Linked DNA regions of Mytilus edulis. The protein of the gene in region 2 purifies or fractionates together with the protein of the main gene of each other region. This does not show direct contact. Links are inferred from orthologs where the notes say so. Each region holds a gene or a part of one and is shown on either strand. Other genes may lie near its edges. The genes, in order: dnaJ homolog subfamily B member 6-like, stress-induced-phosphoprotein 1-like and ATP-citrate synthase-like.

Evidence for each region.
Region 1: the proteins of stress-induced-phosphoprotein 1-like (region 2) and dnaJ homolog subfamily B member 6-like purify together in Homo sapiens (affinity purification with mass spectrometry; 3 studies listed by BioGRID and IntAct, with this or other methods). This does not show direct contact. The link is inferred for Mytilus edulis from reciprocal best matches to the Homo sapiens genes STIP1 and DNAJB6.
Region 3: the proteins of stress-induced-phosphoprotein 1-like (region 2) and ATP-citrate synthase-like fractionate together in Homo sapiens (co-fractionation; 3 studies listed by BioGRID, with this or other methods). This does not show direct contact. The link is inferred for Mytilus edulis from reciprocal best matches to the Homo sapiens genes STIP1 and ACLY.

What each region holds. Positions count from the first base shown.
Region 1 is NC_092345.1:102,191,047-102,198,019, reverse strand, and holds the start of dnaJ homolog subfamily B member 6-like, read left to right. Parts: upstream 1-3,872; 5' UTR 3,873-3,996; intron 3,997-6,973. Other genes in the region: polyribonucleotide 5'-hydroxyl-kinase Clp1-like, read right to left, coding at 3,594-3,614. UniProt on the Homo sapiens protein: Has a stimulatory effect on the ATPase activity of HSP70 in a dose-dependent and time-dependent manner and hence acts as a co-chaperone of HSP70. Plays an indispensable role in the organization of KRT8/KRT18 filaments.
Region 2 is NC_092346.1:83,738,370-83,746,180, forward strand, and holds the start of stress-induced-phosphoprotein 1-like, read right to left. Parts: upstream 3,085-7,811; 5' UTR 2,830-3,084; coding exon 2,806-2,829; intron 1-2,805. Other genes in the region: putative per-hexamer repeat protein 5, read left to right, coding at 5,257-5,522, 6,761-7,004. UniProt on the Homo sapiens protein: Acts as a co-chaperone for HSP90AA1. Mediates the association of the molecular chaperones HSPA8/HSC70 and HSP90.
Region 3 is NC_092345.1:105,918,021-105,925,246, forward strand, and holds the start of ATP-citrate synthase-like, read left to right. Parts: upstream 1-4,112; 5' UTR 4,113-4,184; exon of another isoform or gene 4,185-4,489; intron 4,490-7,226. UniProt on the Homo sapiens protein: Catalyzes the cleavage of citrate into oxaloacetate and acetyl-CoA, the latter serving as common substrate in multiple biochemical reactions in protein, carbohydrate and lipid metabolism.

The DNA.
Region 1 (6,973 bases), on a different chromosome or scaffold from region 2:
CAGATCCTGCTCCACATGTGGCACCCGTCGTGTTGCTTATGTGATAACAAATCCGGTAAATAGTCTAATTCGGTAGGTCACATTCATGAAAGGGAAGATGATTGTAGTTACTTTGTAAGGAACATAATTATCCGATATCATTTGTGAAACGGTTATTCAATAACAGTCAACCAACTCGTCATCACGTCCATAAAATTATTGAAGGAATGATTTAAACTTCACCATTTGGAACTCTTGGTTTAATAGCATACGTGTGAGCAGCAACTCTCTATCAAGAAAATCATGATAGGAAATGCAAGCACAGGAATATCGTATCAATTGGGAGATGGGAGATATATACCCCATATGCAAAAACGCTGTTTTTTTGGGCTTGTAAATGAGAACTGTTCTGAAGATAATAGACAAGGGAAATTTTCATTGTCCATGAAATTACACTAAAATGATGAGTAAAGACATGATGGTCACATCTGAAAAGGACAGTCAATTAAAAATTCTATTTGCACATAGAAGTCCTGAGAAATTCAATGAGAAGAAGACAGCCGGAGATACATTTTGTACATGTATGTACATAACATCCCAATAGGTCTCCAGTCACAAACTTTTAGCACCAACAAAGAAAGAGACATACGAGATAACAATGAATATGATAGGAGAATATTTAAAGATTTCAGGGGGATTCCAGGAAACACTAAGCCTTGAAGAATTCCGATACAGTGCCTAAACAATTTAACTAAATTAAACAATGTGACATTACCCAGAGAAACTACAAGTAAGCACAAAGAGACCAGATGTGTCAAAGCTAAATATTGACCGTAGGATCAGGATCACCAGCCTCACTGTGACTGCCACTAGTCAGTTTGCCAACCCTTGATGGGTTTAAACAGGCACTGGCTATCTTCACCATTTTCATAAATTGTAGTTATTGGATTATTAACTGTAAATACTTGGTTTTTTTAACTGTATATCATTATATAGAGGTGACTGTATGGCATGTATGTGTCAGTGTGAATATACTCAAAATGAGTCCTACACTTAATCAGAAGAAACAATTCAACTAATTTATACCCAAAATATAACATATATATGTCGATCATTTAATTGTTACATAAAAACAGCTTCTCATACTGTTATTTTCAAAAACAGGACGTTTCGACTTACCCGAACATCCGCAACCTCAATCGTAACAGCAAAAACAAAATTAAAGTACATGGAGGAAAATACATGGAGGAAGATACACATAGGGCGTAATATGCACCAATGAGAAGAGTTGTGCCATAAGGCCATAAGATTGAGATTTGAGGATCATACATATACAGACTCGTTCTCTTTGTCAGGTAACATTTTTGTCAAAAATTCTAGGCTACAGAAAATTAAACGAACAGAGAAAAAATGTTCCTGTTGAGGCTGTACATACTAAGTCTTTAGTCTTTAGAAGTGTCAACTTGACACTATAATCTCTATCTGTAATTTCGATCACTCTGGTAATTTTATGGCTCTATTGTATTAAAATCATTAGTACATTTGTATTTATGATGTGGCACTACAGAGAAACTAAATAAACTAGTATCTCAATTGTTTGTAAAACAATTGAAAGGTCTTTCCTGTAAAAGTAATGTTTTCTTAATGTTCTTTGTACGACCTTTCGTTTGATATACGACAAGCATACCTTCTGAAACTTTTCGCTTTTTACACTTAATGACCTCATCAGCCTACATTTTTGAGATCGGAAGTATGATATATGTAACACAGGGTAGATGAGATTTCGTTTGATATGCGACAACGCCATGTTCTAAAAAGTTTGATTTTTACACTTAATAACCCTACCCAACTAATTTTTGGAGGTTGGGAATTTGATATTTCAAATGTACACATCATGACCTTTCATTTGATATACAACAACCTTACCGTAAAAGAAGATTTATTTTTTGCACTCAATGACCCCATCCAACCCATTTTTGGGAGACGTCAATTTGAAATTTGAAATGTACGCTTTATATTCTTTCATTTGATATGCGACAACCTTACCATCTGAGAAATTTGAATGTTTGCACTAAATGACCCCACCCGTCCCCCTGGGATGAAAAAGGGGTTTAAAATTTTCATTTTTAAGTAGAGTTTATTAAGACCTTCAATATGATATATCAGATGACCCCATATGACAAAGTGCAAATAATGATGTAATATCAACTATATAAATAGAAGTTATGAAACTTACAAAGTCAATGCAAAGCTTGAAATTTTCAAATTGATTTTTTGGTGTTTTTTTTCCATGGAATATTTTTCGTATTTGGTCAAACATATAACTATGTCAACCTCTTCAATTTCTAAAACATTTTAAGTGCTAAGCTCTGGTTGATTCAGAAATACATGCCTCCGCTCGCAAAACTTCAAACTGCATTATCTCAAAAACGACAATAGATATCTCAAATCTGTTAAATGATAAATGATCTACAGTTGAAGGACAACATTATAGGAAAAGAATTGAAACAATTTGAAAGTTCAACAAGGTCACAATTAATCATCAAATATATGATGCAAAACCAAACTTGAGAACCGGAAGTCGTAGAGACATGGGACTATCACCATTCAACTCAAGACCACTTGACCTTTCAAATATCACAAGGTCAAGGTCATAGTATAATATGAAGGTCAAGGTGAAATTTCATCATGACCTGACATTGACCTCAAATTGAAGGCCTTGAATTACTGATCATCTTTGCTGTTGATAGTAGGTTGATATCTGTTACCTTTAAAAAGATATACACACAATACTATACTTGTAAGACTCATCCCGTTGTAACTTTTGAACAGACGGTCGGACATTTTTGGGCTTATTGTATAAAATGTAGAACTCGTTGTGAAGAACATTTTATACGCTATATGTATGCAGTAAAGTCTTATCGTTTTTCTAATATGTAAGCTTGAGATTGCAGCGTAATTTTTTTTTTGCACTCGGTGACCTTTGACCTTGGATGCATATTAAAGGTCATATGAATTTAAGATTATTGGTGAAGGTTCCAAGTCTCTATGACTTTCGGTTCTCAAAATAGAATTTTTGAAAAATTATTTTTAAATTTTAAAGGGAAATAACTCCTTATAAGGGATGGCAACAAATTAATTGTTTATGTTTATAAACATTTCCATCTGTTCTTATACATGCTGTCATTTTCAATTCAATTCTATCTCTAATACTTTTTGAGAAAAATGCAAATAAAAGAAATTGTTTCAAGGGGATATAACTCTCAAAGGGGATGATGAAATCTTATGCAGCCTCATATGGTAATACATCATGATGAGATCTACCTATTGACCAATTAAAGTTATGATACCTTTTAACTAATTTTGGGGGGACCATGTTGAAAAAAATCAATAAATGGGAGATTACTCCTCAAGGGGAGGGTGAAATCCTACAAAAGTTCATCTGGTAAAAGTTCATGTTGAGGTCTATCGATGGTTCAATTTTGGTATTGATAACTCCAATAGAAGCGGTAGGAGGGCCTGCCAAAAATACAAATCCTTGTTCAAAGGATTCAAAATCAGCTTTGTGATCTTAAGCCATAAAACGTTAAAACAAATATGTGTATATTAAATACCTCTTTCTTTTCTTCGGACATGTTTTATTCCTGTGCCGATGAGCAGCAAAACTTCTGCTAAATTATGTTTCAACAAAATTTGTTTCTCATGGGGGCTGCCATTTTAAAAATTACTCTTTAAACATTTGATTTTTTTATGTTCAGCATTTCTGATTTAAGTTCTTTGTATTTGAATTATACTTAATATTAAATAAAATTTAATTGATACATAATTTCTATCATTAATTATCAATGTTTAACCTTTCAATTCATATATACTCTCTAAATATAGTCAAAATCATTCATGCGTTTTATACGGAATACACTTTACAGAGACGGATAAGCTTCTTGTTTGGAAATAATATTGGCCTACTTTCTGTTCTATTCTTTTCTATTCTGTTCCAAAAGAACAAAACAAAGATTGGTAAGTTGATTAGTATTGAGTAGAATTAACTAGAGAAAAAGGCAAGCATGTATATTTATCGAAAGCTATGAACGAAAAAAAATGAAATAGAAAAGATGTTTTTTTGCACAGAATTTCAGAAATTATAAATGATTATAGACAGACTAAAGAATCTTATTTGTATATAGTGGCTATAGTATTTTTACCTGATAAATATTGAATATTGTACAATGTATTCTTTATGATGTACATGTATATGAGACAAAATTATAGTTACCTGTACCATTATAAACTTGTACCAATGTCAACTCATACCACTAAAAAAAACTTGTACTAATGCAAACTTGTACCACTGCTAACTTGTACCACTGTAAATTCATACCATTGTAAACTTGTACCAACTTATATAATTATTGAAATGCATTGAACATTTTGAAATGGTGTTTAATGATGAATATACAGTGGAGTAGTCCCCGGTGTCTGCGCGGCCCGTGATATCGCGCATTAGCTTATTTTGTCATATCAACACAGTATCACAAACACAATCGTTCTTGTTATTGTTTTAGCCATCTGAAGGGATAAAAAAGAATAAAATTGATAAGTTCAAGAGTTAATTAATAACTGCAATCCCGTAATTTGCCATATTTGGCCAATTTCCGTTAAAAAAAAATACATCATCAGATAAAATTTGTTTTATTTAAGTCAAACTTATATCAGATTGAAATGATTTTTGCTCTGCATCCTTGGCAGTGTTTTTGGTTCAAACTCAGCTATATTTCGTAGTATAAAATCTTTTCTTTTTTTAAAATAAGCTATTTTTGGAAGGCATGCGCGAAATCACCGGACATTGGAGGAACTCTCAGAACAGGGTTTCCCTAATTTTGGACACATATTACACAAAATCTTGAGGGTGAAACCATACAAACAGAAGATTTTATGAAATAAAAGTATGTTATGAATGTGTTCACATAATATTATTCATTTATTGGTTTTATCAGTTGAATGAAGTGAAGTCATAAGTCTTAGGTGAGCGGATACACCGGACTGCACCGTATACTTTAATTTCACTCAATACCTCTTAAGTCTGTAAAATGTATAATATGAGGCAGGCATTACCTGTGAAAGGGAACGAAGTCTATGATTTTATTTTAATTCAAACATATCTTAATTTCGAAACGGAAATACCGTAATGTTTCCGATTTTGGTTCTCTTGTTAGGGATTTTAGTTGTGCCGTTATTTAAGTTATGACGTCATATGCAATTTTAACAAAGAAACGCTATCATTAGGTAACGTTTTTTCATATCAAGGAATTATTAAAAAAATGAAATTGATATTGCGTTCCTTCCTATTTTATACTAAACTGATAAATATATATATTTTACTCAAAATTTCATGCAAACAAGACCGGAAAAAGGAAGAACATTGTAGATTTCTGCGCAGATGCAGGAATTCAAAACATGACATAAAAAAAATTGAACTATTTTGAGTTCATTAGTACAATGAAAATATCGGGAAAATTTTTCCGTTTTTTTTTTTTATTGAATTTTCTACTGTTATTGGGGACTTTGTCCCCATATAATTTGAAATTACGTTGACCCATGTGTAGCTTATTTTCCATGTCTAACTAATTCCCATAATTGACCCTGTTATTATAGATCGCTTTTTTTAGTTGTCTCTTTTATGAGGTACATTAATTTGTATTTACAATGGAGAGCTACAATGTAGCAGAAAGAGCAAATTAACCTGATCGTAAATTCGTAATGTGAGTAATCGTTCACACAATGACAAGATCAAGTTAGAATTTGTTCCGTTACAATGATTTTTGTCGAGCCTTCGACTTTAGAAGAAAAAGCGAGACAGCGATCCTACATTCCATCGGTGTCATCGACGGCGTCCACAAATATTCACTCTGTGGTTAAAGTTTTTGAAATTTTAATAACTTTCTTGAAATATCCTACATTGTAGATTTCTACCAAACTTGGACAGAAGCTTGTTTATGTTCATAAGATAGTATCCAGGAGTAAATTTTGTAAAAATAAAATTCCATTTTTTCCATATTTTACATTTTTTTACTTATAAATGGACTTAGTTTTTCTGCTCGGAACCATTACATGTACATGCAATCTGTGGTTAAAGTTTTTAAAATTTTAATAACTTTCTTAAACTATCCTGGAATTGTACGAAACTTGGCCAGAAGCTTGTTTTTCTTCTAGTTAACATTACATACAGTCTGCAGTTAAAGTTGTTAAAACATTTTTAAGTTTCTTAAACTAGCCTGGAATTTTACCGAACTTGAACAGAAGCTTCTGACAATCAAAAGATAGTATCGAGAGGAATAATTTTGTTGATTTTTTTCTTCATTTTTGTTGAGTGTGTGATTAACAGCAAAAGTAGACAGGACAATGGGTTCCGCGGAACCCTTATAAATTTTTTAACCAGATTGGGACTATTTAATACCATGCAATACTCACAATATGCTTGTTTTTGGGGGAAAGACGGCTTCAAGCCGTCAATCCCATATGGGGTTGACCAGAGTGACATTCCCTCACATCATTCATTTTGTTTTTATAGTGTGATTACCCCCAAAAAATCTTACTGAGCTTGATGAGAAGGAAACACACAAATGAAAAGATTGACTTTAAATACTTTTCTACATATTTCCCTTCTGTTTCTAGCGAAATTATCGTATTTTGAGCTCTCTTTTACACTATTTACGTTTCTTTTACAATCCGGAAAAATCAGTGACGAGATATTCTAAATATATCCAACCTACATTATATTTTATAATGACGTCATTGTTGGAATGCCACACTATGAAGAAGCAGGGATATTCTTCACTGGTTATTTAAATCATTCTCAGAGTTCGTGCACTAATTGTAAATTATTTGTTAAATTTAAACATAATTATGTTTGCTGTAGATGATTCAAACATCAACATGCAATACTTTAATTTGTAGGTCAACAACTTTCAGAGTAAACAAGGGTCGTGGAGATACA
Region 2 (7,811 bases):
AACCCAACAACGGGTTGTCCGATTCATCTAAAAATTTCATAGCAGATAAATGTTGACCTGATAAACAATTTTACCCCATGTCAGATTTGCTCCAAATGCTTTGGGTTTTGAGTTATAAGCCAAAAACTGCATTTTACCCCATGTTCTATTTTTAGCCATGGTGGCCATCTTGGTTTGATGGCCGGGTCACTGGACACATTTTTCAAACTACTAACCCAAAAGATGATTGTGGCCAAGTTTGGATTAATTTAGCCCAGTAGTTTCAGAGGAGAAGATTTTTGTAAAATATTACTAAGATTTACGAAAAATAGTTAAAAATTGACTATAAAGGGCAATAACTCCTAAAGGGGTCAACTGACCATTTCAGTCATGTTGACTTATTTGTAAATCTTACTTTGCTGAACATTATTGCTGTTTACTGTTTATCTCTATCTATAATAATATTCAAGATAATAACCAAAAACAACAAAATTTCCTTAAAATTACTAATTCAGGGGCAGCAACCCAACAACGGGTTATCCGATTCATCTGAAAATTTCAGGGCAGATAGATCTTCACCTGTTTAACAATTCTATTCCATGTCAGATTTGCTCTAAATACTTTGGTTTTTGAGTTATAAGCCAAAAACTGCATTTTACCCCTATGTTCTATTTTTAGCCATGGCGGCCATCTTGGATGGTTGGTCGGGTCACCGGACACATTTTTTAAACTAGATACCCCAATGATGATTGTGGCCAAGTTTGGTTTAATTTGGGCCAGTAGTTTCAGAGGAGAAGATTTTTGTAAAAGTTAACGACGACGCCGGACGCCGGACGCCAAGTGATGAGAAAAGCTCACTTGGCCTTTTAGGCCAGGTGAGCTAAAAACACATATATACTTTTCTTGGAATGATCTTCAATGCATTTTATGATTTAATTTAAAGATGGATTTAAGAAAGAAAAAAAAAAAAAAGACATTTAGCTTGTATAGTACCTATTGAGGGGATCTGCAACACTATTCAGTAGATAACTATACACTTGACTTTATGGTCCAGGCCTCTACAATAACTTTTTTTTCAACTTGTCCAGTAGGACAAGTACATTCCAAAACTTACTTGTAACTTGTCCAAAACAAATCTTAATATTAACCTTTTTTGCATTTCAAGTTGATTCAAGGAACAAAATGAATTACAAAAAAATTGAACAGAATTTGATTTATATCCTTTGAAATACTTTTAAAAGATATGAGCCATGAACAACTGAATTGAGTTGTGTCACAGGACTTAGGTTCTAGTTTTTATCAATGCTAAAGTCTCATCATACTTTGCACATGAGGCACCATCTGATTGGCCTCTAAATGTACACTCATTGGATTTTTATCCATTTTTTTAAAAGTTGAAAAAAGTTTATTCAAATGCAATCAATAAAAAGAATATGAGGCATGATTGTCAATTTGACACAAGACCAAATGACACAGAAATTAACACTTATAGGTCACTGCATTGCATTGGTATTGTTTTTTCTACATAAAGATCAAACATGATTTGATGATTTTTATGGTAAATAATTTCCTCATTCTTATTTAAAAAATACGTTATGGACATCGGTATTAATTATTATAGAGCAACAAAATAAGGTAGGAAAAGAAGTTCTGATTTGTCTTGGTCCAGAAATGTCTACTGCCTTGCCAAACTGTCTATTAATCATGTTTATGAAATATGTCTCCTACAGTGCCCAACTGTCTATTAAACTTGGAGCCGAATCATTTCCGAGCTGTTGACGAACTGTCTTTTAAAGTTACCTTATCTAAAATGCCCATGGTTGAATTGGATCTGTAAGACTGGTTTCCGAGAAAAGTGTGCTTTTTACCTGTTAAAAGTACTTGACAAAGAACCAGTTTAAATTATCGATTGCAAGTCTGAGGGGTCTAATTTTATTATTCGACTAAGAAATAAAAAGTTTCAATTAGTTTCAGTTTAAAAAGGAAAGATGTCAAACAAATCTTCTTTTCTTGTTTTTTTGTTAATAATTATACTTTGTTCATCAAAGTTGGATTAAAATTTATTTTCTGCAGAATGATTCTACTTGTCCCATCGGACAAGCTTGGTATAGCTTTTACCTGTCCGACCTTTTTTACCTCTGGTACCAGACAATCAGACAAGCGTTATTGTCGAGGCCTGTGGTCCTTATCAAATGAAGGTTGTTTACAAAAAAAATCGTGATCAAGTGTATAACTATGTACTGGTAGAATCCTCCGTTTTCAGAATCCATGTAAACTCCCTATCACTTTCAGCATTAATTGATATGTGTCACAACAATATTTACAAGGACAACCCCCACTCCAATACAACTTTTAGGGAGTGCTAGGACATTGGGAAGTCTGTTATTATGGTAGAGGAAGCCGAGAACTAGGAGAGAACCACTGCGACACTCAGCGGAAACAGAAAAATTTCTTTGCAAGTTGAGGGAGGTAATAAACAGATTTGTATCATTCACCAAAATGAGTTATAATAAGGTTAATAACAATCTGATCGACTTTAAGCTGGAACAACTTGAAATATATATATATATTATAAACCTATTTGGGTTACTCTGATACTGATAGGTTTACATGAAGTGCGACTCCATGGTATCATGTTAAATCATGGTGGCATTTCCACGTGAGCTTGCAGTTAAAAGTTTGTATTTACTTTTTTTTTCATTGATATGTGTGCTAGGTGCCGGTTTTCCAGTTAGTGTAAAACACGTGCAGACAAATTCAACAGAATTCGTTGTGGTTAACCATACTCATGGCATACAACTGGTTGTCTCTTCAACCTAATCTTACCTTTTTCTGATTTTCGGATGACATATTCCTACAGGCTACAGCGTTTTCCTATGTTTTCTCAATTATTGAAACCGAATTTTCTAGAGTCATTCGTACTTATCGGAACTCACTTAGCATTATCCATTAGTTTTTGTCGACTGATTCCCTGAAAAAGAAATTTCTTCGTACCGAGAAGAAGGAACAGTGACCAGTATATTTACCTCCCTTTGATATTCCGGAACGCCTTGGTAGTTTTCGTCAATAAAAACGACTTGCAGCTTTAATCTGTGATATGCGCATAAAAAATTAAAATAGATCATTTAAATGCGCATATTACATACACCTCTTGAACTAAGGGAGCTACCATTTGATTTTTATGGGGGGGCTAGGATGAAAAATTTTGTCCTGCATTTTTTTTTAGCTGTAATCTCTGTCCTGCCTTTTTATTTTTCACTCTGTTCGGTCCTGCCTTTTTTTTTTTAGTTTATTCTGACTTTTTTTTACCTAAATTGTCGTCCTGACTTTTTTTTTTTGCAAGTGTCTCATCCTGCCTTTTTTTTTTACTCAAAACTACTGTCCTGCCTATTTTTTTTCAAATTTCATAGCCCCCCAATAAAAATCAAATGGTAGCTCCCTAATGAAATCATAGAACAATAAACAATACAATACAATACAATACAATACAATACAATACAATACAATACTATAGTGTTATTAACTGGCTGTTTCTGTATTGGCACTGGTATAGATTCTCGGTCAGCTGTATTGGCCCTCGACCCCGTAGGGTCGAGGGCCAATACAGCTGACCGAGAATCTATACCAGTGCCAATACAGAAACAGCCAGTTCATAACACTTTTATTAAAGGCACTGGCTACGGTTACATGGAAATGTAACAATAATAAAAATATTATTGTTACATTGGAGACTAATTGCCGGAATGCAAAGTTGGGTGAGGAACCGATTAATTACAAATGTAACAATAATTACTGAGGCTACGGTTACATTACGTTATTGTTACATGAAACAGCAATGTACGCTAGATTGATTAAACTTAAATCTTCTATAGTTGTATTGCTTCATTCTTTCATATGTACTAAACAATACTAGTAATTTAATACTGATAAACAATAAAATATTATTTTTCAACAAATGGTGTACAACTTGAATAGTTTTACTACATATTAATGGTTTTGATGTTCTTAAAGATACTGCTCAAAATTAGGAGTGTGACTGTCAAAGGCGAAAAATATAGTTCAATGGTTTCACTTTTTTGAAGTATTTAACTGCACACCTACTCTTATTACTGTCATTATACTTTGGACCAATTTTGTTTATGGTGAAAAAAATAAAAGTTAGGATGCGTTTTAAACGAAACTGAAACAATATCAGGACATACATTTCATACAGCTTTATAACTTGACGCAAATTGATAATCAAAAGCAAAGTTTGCTTACTGTAACTTAAAAAAAATACTAAGAAATTATGTATGTACACGTATCCGTGGAGGACGTAATTTCGGTCATCAAAAATGTGTCGGACTTTAAAAACAACTTACTGGATTTGTAGAAATTGTCATTGTAAATAAAAAATTACAGTAAATAAATTGTATGTTATAAATGTATGTAATAAATGTCCTCAACTTTTATTATTTAGTACATATTACTAGTCCCATCGTACTTTGCTTTTTTTCATGTAACAATAACGCAATGTAACCGTAGCCTCAATAATTATTGTTACATTCGTAATTAAACAGGTCCTTACCCAACCATGCATTCCGGCATTTAGTCTCCAATGTAACAATAATATTTTTATTATTGTTACATTTCCATGTAACCGTAGCCAGTGCCTTTATTAAATGATTATAAGAGAATTAAAAACCGGAAGTGAACGTCCCGTATTAGCCCATGGGCCAATACAGCTTTTTTCCCGCTTTTTTCTGTAATTGCCCTGTTTTTTCCGTTTGAAAACATTAAGACATTACAAAACATTGCACATCATTTAACCTGTTTATTTTATTACTTTAATTTAAAAAATATTATACAAATGTTTTTATGCATAACGATACTTCAAGAGTAAAGTAATGGCGTAAGAAAATTGAAAACCGGAAGTGAACGTCCTGTATTAGCCCTAGGGCTAATACGACTTTTTTCCCGCTTTTTTCTGTATTGGCCCTGTTTTTTTCCGTATTGGCCCTGTTCGAAGAGCAATATTAACTCTTGATTTATATCGACAGTGGAACGTTTTTAGTATTGCACATGCTGATTTATCCGTATTAGGGCTTATTTGCTCATATCATTTAATAAAATACAATACAATACAATACAATACACAATACCAATACCAATACCAATACCAATATCAATATAATACCAATACAATACCAATACCAATATAATACCAATACAATTAATACAAATACAAATACAAATACAATACAATATAAAACCAATATCAATAAAACACCAATACCAATGTCACTGTCTACGTCACTGTTGATGCCAATCAATGTCAATGTCAATGCAATGTCAATTGGGATTGGGATTGGAATTGGAATTATAATTGAAATAAGAATTGGAATAGGAATAGGAATAGGAATAGGAATAGGAATAGGAATAGGAATAGGAATAGGAATAGGAATAGGAATAGGAATAGGAATAGGAAAAGGAATAGGAATAAGGAATAGCAATAGCAATAGCAATAGCAATAGCAATGGGAATGGGAGTGTGAATTGGAATAGGTATAGGAATTAGAATAGGAAACGAAATAGAAATAAGATGTCAACTGATTACAATATTCGAAGTCAATGTTGATGTCAATGTCAATGACAATTACAATGCAAATGACAATGTCAATACCAATAGGAATAGGAATAGGAATTAAAATATGACTATGATTAGGATTAGGAATATGAATATGAGAAGTAACAGCAATATAAATTGAAATAGGAATAGGAATTGGAATAGGAATAGGAATGGGAATGGGAATGGGAATGGGAATGGGAATGGTAATAGGAATAGGAATTAGGAATAGGAATAGGAATTAGGAATTAGGAATTAGGAATTAGGAGTAGGAATAGGAATAGGATTAGGAATAGGAAGAGGAATTATGAATAGGAATAGGAATAGGAATAGGACTAGGAATAGGAATTAGGAATAGGAATATGAGAAGTAACATGAATATAAATTGAAATTGGAATAGGAATTGGAATTGGAATAGGAAAAGGAATAGGAATAGGAATAGGATAGGAATTGGAATAGCAATAGCAATAGCAATAGCAATAGCAATAGCAATTGGAATAAAATTGAAATAACAATAGCAATAAGAATATGAATATGAATTCGAATTGAAATAGGAATACCGTATAGCGGGTTATTTTCGCGGGTGTGAATTTTCGCTTATTTTCGCGGAAAGAACCAAAATCACCAAAATAAATTCCGCCAATTTAAAAGTGCACAGGCTAAGATATTGATAACAAAAATTTGAGTCCGCTAAAATAATAACCGTCAAAATATTTCGAATACATTTTTCAATGAAAATCGCGAATTTTTACACCCGCGAAAATAACCCGCTATACGGTATGATTAGGAATTGGAAAAGGATAAGTAATAGGTAAATGAATTCGAATAGGAATAGAATAGGAAATTGAATTGGAATATGAATTTGAATAGGTAATGAATTCGAATTGTAATAGGATCAGCAGGCGCGGATCCAGAGGGGGGGGGGGGGGTCCGGGGGTTGGAACCCCCCTTTTTTTTGGCCGATGTATTTGAATGGGAGCATATAGCTGGACACCCCCCCCCCCCTTTTTACCCTGGGTTGGGAACCCCCTTTTTTAAAATGGCTGGATCCGCCCCTGATCAGGAATAGGAATAATAATAGGAATAGGATTAGGAATATGAATAGCATTAGGAATATGAATAGGATTAAGAATATGCATTTGAATATGAATTTGAATATGAATTGGAATTGGAATAGGAATTGGAATAAAAAGAGGAATAAGATTAGGAATAGGATTAGGATTAGGATTAGGATCACGGGATCAGGATCAGGATCAGGATCAGGATCAGGATCAGGATCAGGATCAGGATCAGGATCAGGATCAGGATCAGGATCAGGATCAGGATCAGGATCAGGATCAGGATCAGGATCAGGATCAGGATCAGGATCAGGATCAGGATTAGGAATAGGAATAGGAATAGGATTATTAATAGGAAAATGAATTGGAATAGGAATATGGTCGGGTATAGGAAAAGGAATAGGAATAAGATATGAATTGATAATGGAATTGAATTTGGAATTGAAATACTCTAACGCGAGAAAAGACCGAGGAAGTCATGTTTTTTTCAGATTTTTTTCTCTTCTGTTCAACAATTGGCAACCCCTGAATTACAGGCTCCTGACCTCGGACAGGCACCTACAAACACAATGTGGATGTTTTAAACTTGTTACCGGGATCCTAACCCTCCCCTAACCTGGGACAGTGGTGTAACAGTATAAAACAAAAACGAATAATAAAAATGAGTTGAAAAAGGCTTAAATCATTAGAAGGATACAAGTGTAGATACATCTATCAAAAACACAGAGTGGAAGTGGCCGGGTACCAAGACTCTTTCATTTTGCAATAGAATTAGTGCATTTGTCTTTTCTGCACTTTACACAAGTTTTCCCCATTCCAAACTAAAAGACAAATTGAAAGTATTGGTTCTGCTTTTATTCATAAAAAAGTATGACCAACGTAAATACAAGTATTTTGTCTTAGGGAGGGATAAATCATACTTTGAAAAAAAAACACTTTGATTCAAACAAACAATTGTCTGAAACTGACATCTAGATGCTTGATTTGAATGACAATATATTCATTACGTTTGTATGACATGTTTGTTTTTTAAAAACAAACAATCTGCATTTGCATGGGAACTTGCCGACTTGTTCCTTTATTCGTGTGAGACTGACTTAATACAGGAACTTCAGTTCTTATGAAGAACGAAAAGAAGTTAGCAGTACTTTCTGCTATAGCCTATGTAGA
Region 3 (7,226 bases), on a different chromosome or scaffold from region 2:
TGCACTGCTTTCCATCTAAATCATTTGTATTATCAACTCATCGAAGCTTGAGGTTATCCGCGCCACATATTAAAGTGACAGTTGACGTTTAGAAAACATTGTTTTCTTGTGTATTATAGTATTCACTTATTGAGGTTTGAGTACTGAACTAGTTTTACCCCTCAACATGTGTATGTGTCTGTACCTTTTGGGGTTTTTTTTCGAGTTAAATTAAGCATTTCGTTTGTTTTTTCTATGTATTGTTTTAACGTTGCTACGGATATCACATGCTGTTATAACTGTTTAATTGTATAAATAATATAAACCTTTTATGTTTGTTTGTTTTGTTCATACTTTGTTCATATTCTGTCAATATAATGGAATGTTATGCGATAATCATACAAAGGAGAGGTTTAGCTACATGTAGCTATAAAACCATGTTTAATCCACTATTTTCTACATAAGAAAATGCTTTTACCAAATCAGGAATATGACAGTTGTTTTCAATTCATTTGATGTGTTTGAGCTTTTGGTTATGCCATTTGATATGGAACTTGTAGTTTTGAGTTTTACTCAGTATTTTTGTTATTTTACTATATTCAACTTTTGGTATCCATCAGCCAATCAAAACTAGGAAATCGTATGAAATTAATTGTAAGTGAACAACAAACTTTCTTATTGGAAAGTGTAACGATTTGTTATGTCGAATGATGGTATTGTTCTAACAGGGTATCTATTGGCTCTGTCGATTGATTGTATTATCCTGGCAGAACATCGATTGGTTATGTTGATTGATTGTATTATCCTGGCAGTGCATCGATTGGTTGTGTTGATTGATTGTATTATCCTGGCAGTGCATCGATTGGTTATGTAAATTTGTTGTAAAGTCCTGGTAGTGCATTGATTGACTTGGTCGATTGGTTGTATTGTCCTGACATTGCATCAATTAACTCTGTCGATTGTTTGTATTGCCCTGGCAGCTCATCCATTGGTTATGTTGATTGGTTGTATTGGCCTGGCAGTGGAACGATTTGTTATGTCAATTGGATGTATTGTTCTGGCAGTACATCGATTGACTCTGTCGATTGGTTGTATTGTTCTAACAGGATATCTATTGGCTCTGTCGATTGGTTGTATTGTCTTGGCAGTGCATCGATTGGTTGTTATGTCCTGGCAGTACATCGATTGGCTCTGTCCATTGGTTGTATTGTCTTGGCAGTTTCATCGATTGGCTCTGTCCATTGGTTGTATTGTCTTGGCAGTGCCTCGATTAGCTCTGTTGATTGGTTTGATTGTTTTGGCAGTGCCTCGATTGGCTATGTCGATTGGTTGTATTATCCTGGCAGTGCATCGATTGGCTTTGTCGATTGGTTGTATTGTTTTGACAGTACATCGTTTACACTGTCGATTGGTGGCATTGTCTTGGCTGTGCATCGATAAGCTCTATCGATTAGTTGTTATGTCCTGGCAGGGCATTGATTTACTCTGTCGATTGGTTGTATCGTCCTGGCAATGGGATTGGTTGTATTTTCCTGGCAGTGTATTGATTGGTTGTATTATCCTTTCATTACATCGTGTTTGTACGATTTTTTTGTTCTGGCAGTTTTGAATTGCTCTGTCAATTGGTTATATTGTTCTGGTAGTGTACTATTGGCTCTGTCGATTGGTTGTATTGTCCTGGCTCTATCTATTGGTTGTATTGTCCTAGCTCTGTAGATTGGTTTTATTGTCCTGTCAGTGCCTTAATTGGCTCTGTCGATTGGTTGTATTATCCTGACGGGCATTAATTGGCTCTGTCGATTGGTTTAATTGTCCTGTCAGTTTATTGATTGGCTCTGTCAATTGGGTGTATTGGTCTGGCAGTACATCGATTAGCTCTGTCGATTGGTTGTATTGTCCTGGAAGCTCATCGACTGGTTATGTCGATTGGTTGTATTGGCCTGGCAGTGCAACGATTTGTTATGTCGATTGGTTGTATTGTTCTGGCAGAACATCGATTGACTCTGTCGATTGACTCTGTCGATTGGTTGTATTGTCTTGGCAGTGCATCAATTTGCTCTGTCGATTGGTTGTATTGTCTTGGTAGTGCATTGATTGGTTATGTTGATTGGTTGTATTGGCCTGGCAGTGCAACGATTTGTTATGTCGATTGGTTGTATTGTTCTGGCAGAACATCGATTGACCCTGTCGATTGACTCTGTCGATTGGTTGTATTGTCTTGGCAGTGCATCGATTTGCTCTGTCAGGGACGTAGCTAGAACGAAAAAATTTTGGGACCCTTTTATGCAGATTTTTTTTTTTTTTCGGTTTTCGGTCATAGGACGGTTAAAAGAGGAGCTACATGTAGAAAGGACTTATAAACAATTTATGAATGAAAACTATTAATTAATCTTCTGAATAGAATAAATCATGGTAAATTGAATACATAAACAACACATTTTTGTGATACCGAAATTACTCAAAATTGTCCAAAATCTGCTCTTCGGGTCTAGGCAGAAACGAACTTCTCTATTACTTTGTCAATATAAACACTGAATTCCCGATGAATATGCAGTAATGCTAGCGATGATAACCTGTCGTTGTTCATTGTTGATCGTACATTTGTTTTCAACAGACGTAGTACCTTGATATATCTCCACGGTAGCACTCGCGAGGTGTTATAAATCAGCGTACGTATTCGCCATCGAGCGACCTCCCAATTGAATTCGTCAAAATTACATGCCAGGTCAGTTTCGTATGTCTCAGACAAAGTTGAGATATCTTCGTTTGTTATATTTCCAACAACACAAGGAAGCAGATACGGCGCAAAGAAGCGATTTTCTAATAATACCAGACGCGACTCCACTCTCCAGTTTCATTATCATATGGTCTATGAACGCAAAATATAATGAGACTTTCCAATACTGTTTGGGCGTGTTTGCAGGGTGATTGGGTCTTGTTGTCTGTCGAACACATCGCCTCGGGATCTGATAAATCTAATGCAGATTGGTACATCTCATTCCAAACAGATAAACCGTACTCAGTAAAATGTGCTCCGAAACTACATGTCTTAGACTGAGTATAACAAATTCAAATCTTGATTTTGTCATGATCTCCAATAAAACTTTTATTTTGAAACCAAATGCCGTTATTTAATGACATTTCATTAATTAAAAAAAAGTGACAACATATGTGTTTTCTTTAAACATTTAATTTATATTTTTATTTCGCTATATTTTTTTTTGCATGCCGAATCGATGTGCACGCAACTGCGTGTTGGCGTATAGGCAGCTACGCGCCTGTCTGTCGATTGGTTGTATTGTCTTGGCAGTGCATCGATTGGTTATGTTGATTGGTTGTATTGGCCTGGCAGTGCAACGATTTGTTATGTCGATTGATTGTATTGTTCTGGCATCTCATCGATTGGTTAGGTCAATTGGTTGTATTGGCCTCGCAGTGCATCGATTTGTTAGGTCGATTGGTTGTTATGTTCTGGCTGAGTATCGATTGGCTCTGTCGATTGGTTGTTTTGTCCTGGCAGTGCATGGATTGTCTCTGTCGATTGTTTAATTGTTATGTCCTGGCAGTACATCGATTGGTTATGTTGAATGATTGTATTATCCTGGCAGTTTCATCAATTGGTTATCATGGTTATGTCGATTGTTTGTATTATCCTGACAGTGCATCGATTGGCTCTGTCGATTGGTTGTTTTGTCCTGGCAGCTAATCGATTATCTCTGTCGATTGATTGTATTGTTCTGACAGTACATCGATTGAATCTGTCGATTGGTGGCATTGTCTTGGCAGTGCATCGATTGGTTGGATTGTTTTGGCAGTGCCTTTTGTTGACTTTGTCGATTGATGGCATTGTCTTGGCAGTGCATCGATTGGCTCTGTCGATTGGTTGTATTATCCTGGCACTGCATCGATTGGTTATTTCGATTGTTTGGATTTTTTGGCAGTGCCTCGATTGGCTCTGTCGATTGGTTGTATTATTCTGGCAGTGCATCGATAAGCTCTGTCGATTGGTTGCATTGTCCTGGCACTACATTGATGGGCTCTGTCGATTGATTTTATCGTCCTGGCAATGTGATTGGTTGTATTTTCCTGTCAGTGCATCGATTGGTTGTATTGTCCTTGTATCAAGTTTGTTTGTTTAAGGTCGAGTTTGTTTTAGGCCGAGTTGTCCAACAGCGTAAGAAAATCACTTCCGCTTTTCTACGAAGGTAATGTCAAATGTGATCAAATGTGTTAATTTTATTTGACTTGTGTGGGATAATTGTCCTTTGACAGTTGGTACCAGAACGTTTTAAAGTATTTTATAGGTATATAATACATGAAATTGTTATGTTTAGTTTCTAACAGTCAATAAAACCCCTCTAATTTGGACAAATTGCACTTCCGGCGCGTTGTTGGCGACGCACGAATGCCGGGTGGTGTGATATCGTATGATTATACCTGATTTGCAGTTTCATATATCTATATATATTTGGAGTAAGTTTTTCACTTAAAAGATATTCAAGTCGCACAGGTGAGGCATTGTTATTTCAACTTTAATTTTAAATGCAGCATGCATTATTTTTTTTTACTGTAAAATCACAATACACCTTATCGCTAATCCCGGTAGTACAAATAATTATGACGTCTTGAAAGGCTATTATAATTTTTTTCTTTGACTCGATGTAAGGCGTCAAAGAAACAAATTACAATAGCCTTTCAAGACGTCATAATTATTTGGACTATAATCCCGGCTGACCCGGCCGCTTGAACTTTTGACGTCAACAACAATCACTTTTCCATTGTGGCGTCAGATATTTTGTTTTATGACGTCAAAATTTTACGGGAACCTGTGTGATTTCCAGCAATGGCGGACAAATAGCGATAAGGTGTATTAAGGTACAAGCACTTGTCTCAAGATTTTATATTACTATCGTCGTGTCATATAAAATTGAGAAAGGAAATGGGGAATGTGTCAGAGCGACAACAACCCGACCATAGAGCAGACAACAGCCGAAGGCCACCAATCGGTCTTCAAGGCAATGTAGCGAGAAACTCCCGCACCCGTAGGTGTCCTTCAGCTGTTTTCGTATGTGATATGTTTTCACATGATCAGGCTGATCCACATTTCAAGTCTAAAGTGGAAAGGATATTCTATTTGGAAAGTACTGAAAGTAGACATATCCTTTAAATCATGAACAGCTTACAATCATTGACAATAGAAAAACAAGAAGTATTTGACATAACAAAAAATTGACTAATGAATGAAATGCAGCAAATTTGATTTAAAACTACAATTTAAAACAAATACCTTATATTAGTTTTTTTTCCTGTCGAATTTGTTTTGAATTTTTTGCCTCCATGAATACAGGAAAAATTTATTAATATATATGTTAAATCTTAAATCCCCCTTTAATTTTTGTGTTTCCATTTCTTCTTTTCTCCTCTGAGTTTCTTTTATACAATTTATAAAATTAATCAACTCATCATGATCATGCTCATAGTTTGGAACAATTTGTTTCAATTTATGATAACTTTGAGTGAATGTCTTCCCCACATGTATCATATCACGCTCCTCCGATTTAAGAATATTTTTTAATTGAGAAAAACTGTTCACTTAGGCAGCAACCATTTGATTTTCTGGGGGGGGGGGGGGCTCTATTGATTTTTTGGGAAAAAAAAGTTTGGTTTCAAGTTTTTGGAGAAAAAAATAATTTGTTTTGTGATTCTGAGAAAAAAAAATTGTTTGTTTCCCCCTCAGCTGCCACTATAAAATTGAAAGAAAAAAATTGTTTTGCGACTTGTCCAGAAAAAAAATCCATAGCCGCCCCCAGAAAATCAAATGGTTGCTGCCTTACCTATATATTTATTTATAAATATTTATAAAACTTATCATGCTTATGAGTAGTTTTAATCAATTTATTCACTAATTGCGACAAATTTCCTACATATTTCACGTTTCCTTCCTCGATCCCGTGCCATTTTATTGTAAAACCAGATGTGGGTATGCGTAGCCTACGAACGGCAATATGACTATTCGTACCCGGGTACACGCAGACACTGTCTTTTATAAAACTGACCTACATGTATTTGTCATTTTTGTCGAGCCTTCGACTTTAGTCGAAAAAGCGAGACTAAGCGATCCTACATTCCGTCGTCGTCGGCGTCGTCGGCGGCGTCAACAAATATTCACTCTGTGGTTAAAGTTTTTGAAATTTTAATAACTTTCTTAAACTATACTGGATTTCTACCAAACTTTGACAGAAGCTTGTTTATGATCATAAGATAGTATCCAGAAGTAAATTTTGTAAAAATAAAATTCCATTTTTTCCGTATTTTACTATAAATGGACTTAGTTTTTTCTGCGGGGAAACAAAACATTCACTCTGTGGTTAAAGTTTTTAGAATTTTAATAACTTTCTCAAACTATCCTGGGTTTGTACCAAACTTGGACAGAAGCTTGTTTATGATCATAAGATAATATCCAGAAGTAAATTTTGTAAAAATAAAATTCCATTTTTTCCGTATTTTACTTATAAATGGACTTAGTTTTTTCTGCGGGGAAACATTACATTCACTCTGTGGTTAAAGTTTTTAGAATTTTAATAACTTTCTTTAACTATCCTGGGTTTGTACCAAACTTGGACAGAAGCTTGTTTATGATCATAAGATAGTATCCAGAAGAAAATTTTGTAAAAATAAAATTCAATTTTTTCCGTATTTTACTTATAAATGGACTTAGTTTTTTCTGCAGGGAACCATTACATTCACTCTGTGGTTAAAGTTTTTAAAATTTAAATAACTTTCTTAAACTATCCTGGGTTTGTACCAAACTTGGAAATAACCTTATTTATGATCATAAGATTGTATCCAGAAGTAAAGTTTGTAAAAAGATTACTCTGTTTTTTTCTGTAATTTACTTTCAAATGGACTTAGATTTTCTTACAATCATAAAATAGTAACAAGAGGAATATTTTGATTGATTTTTTTCCTCATTGTTGTTGAGCCTGTGATTTACAGCAAAAATAGGCGAGACACTGGGTTCCGCGGAACCCTTACAAATTTTTATTTAATGTCAAAAATATCCATCACTAGAATAGGTGTTGAAAAAATTTCTGAAGGGTTAAAATAAAGTCCAGGTATGTTTTTAGACCGTTAGACACCGGATCTTCAAGACATGTGACTGTCATACTTTTTTTGGCCGTTTTAATTACAAACCAGCGAATTAAAATTAACAGGGTTCTTATATCATGTATATAAAATGGTTGTTC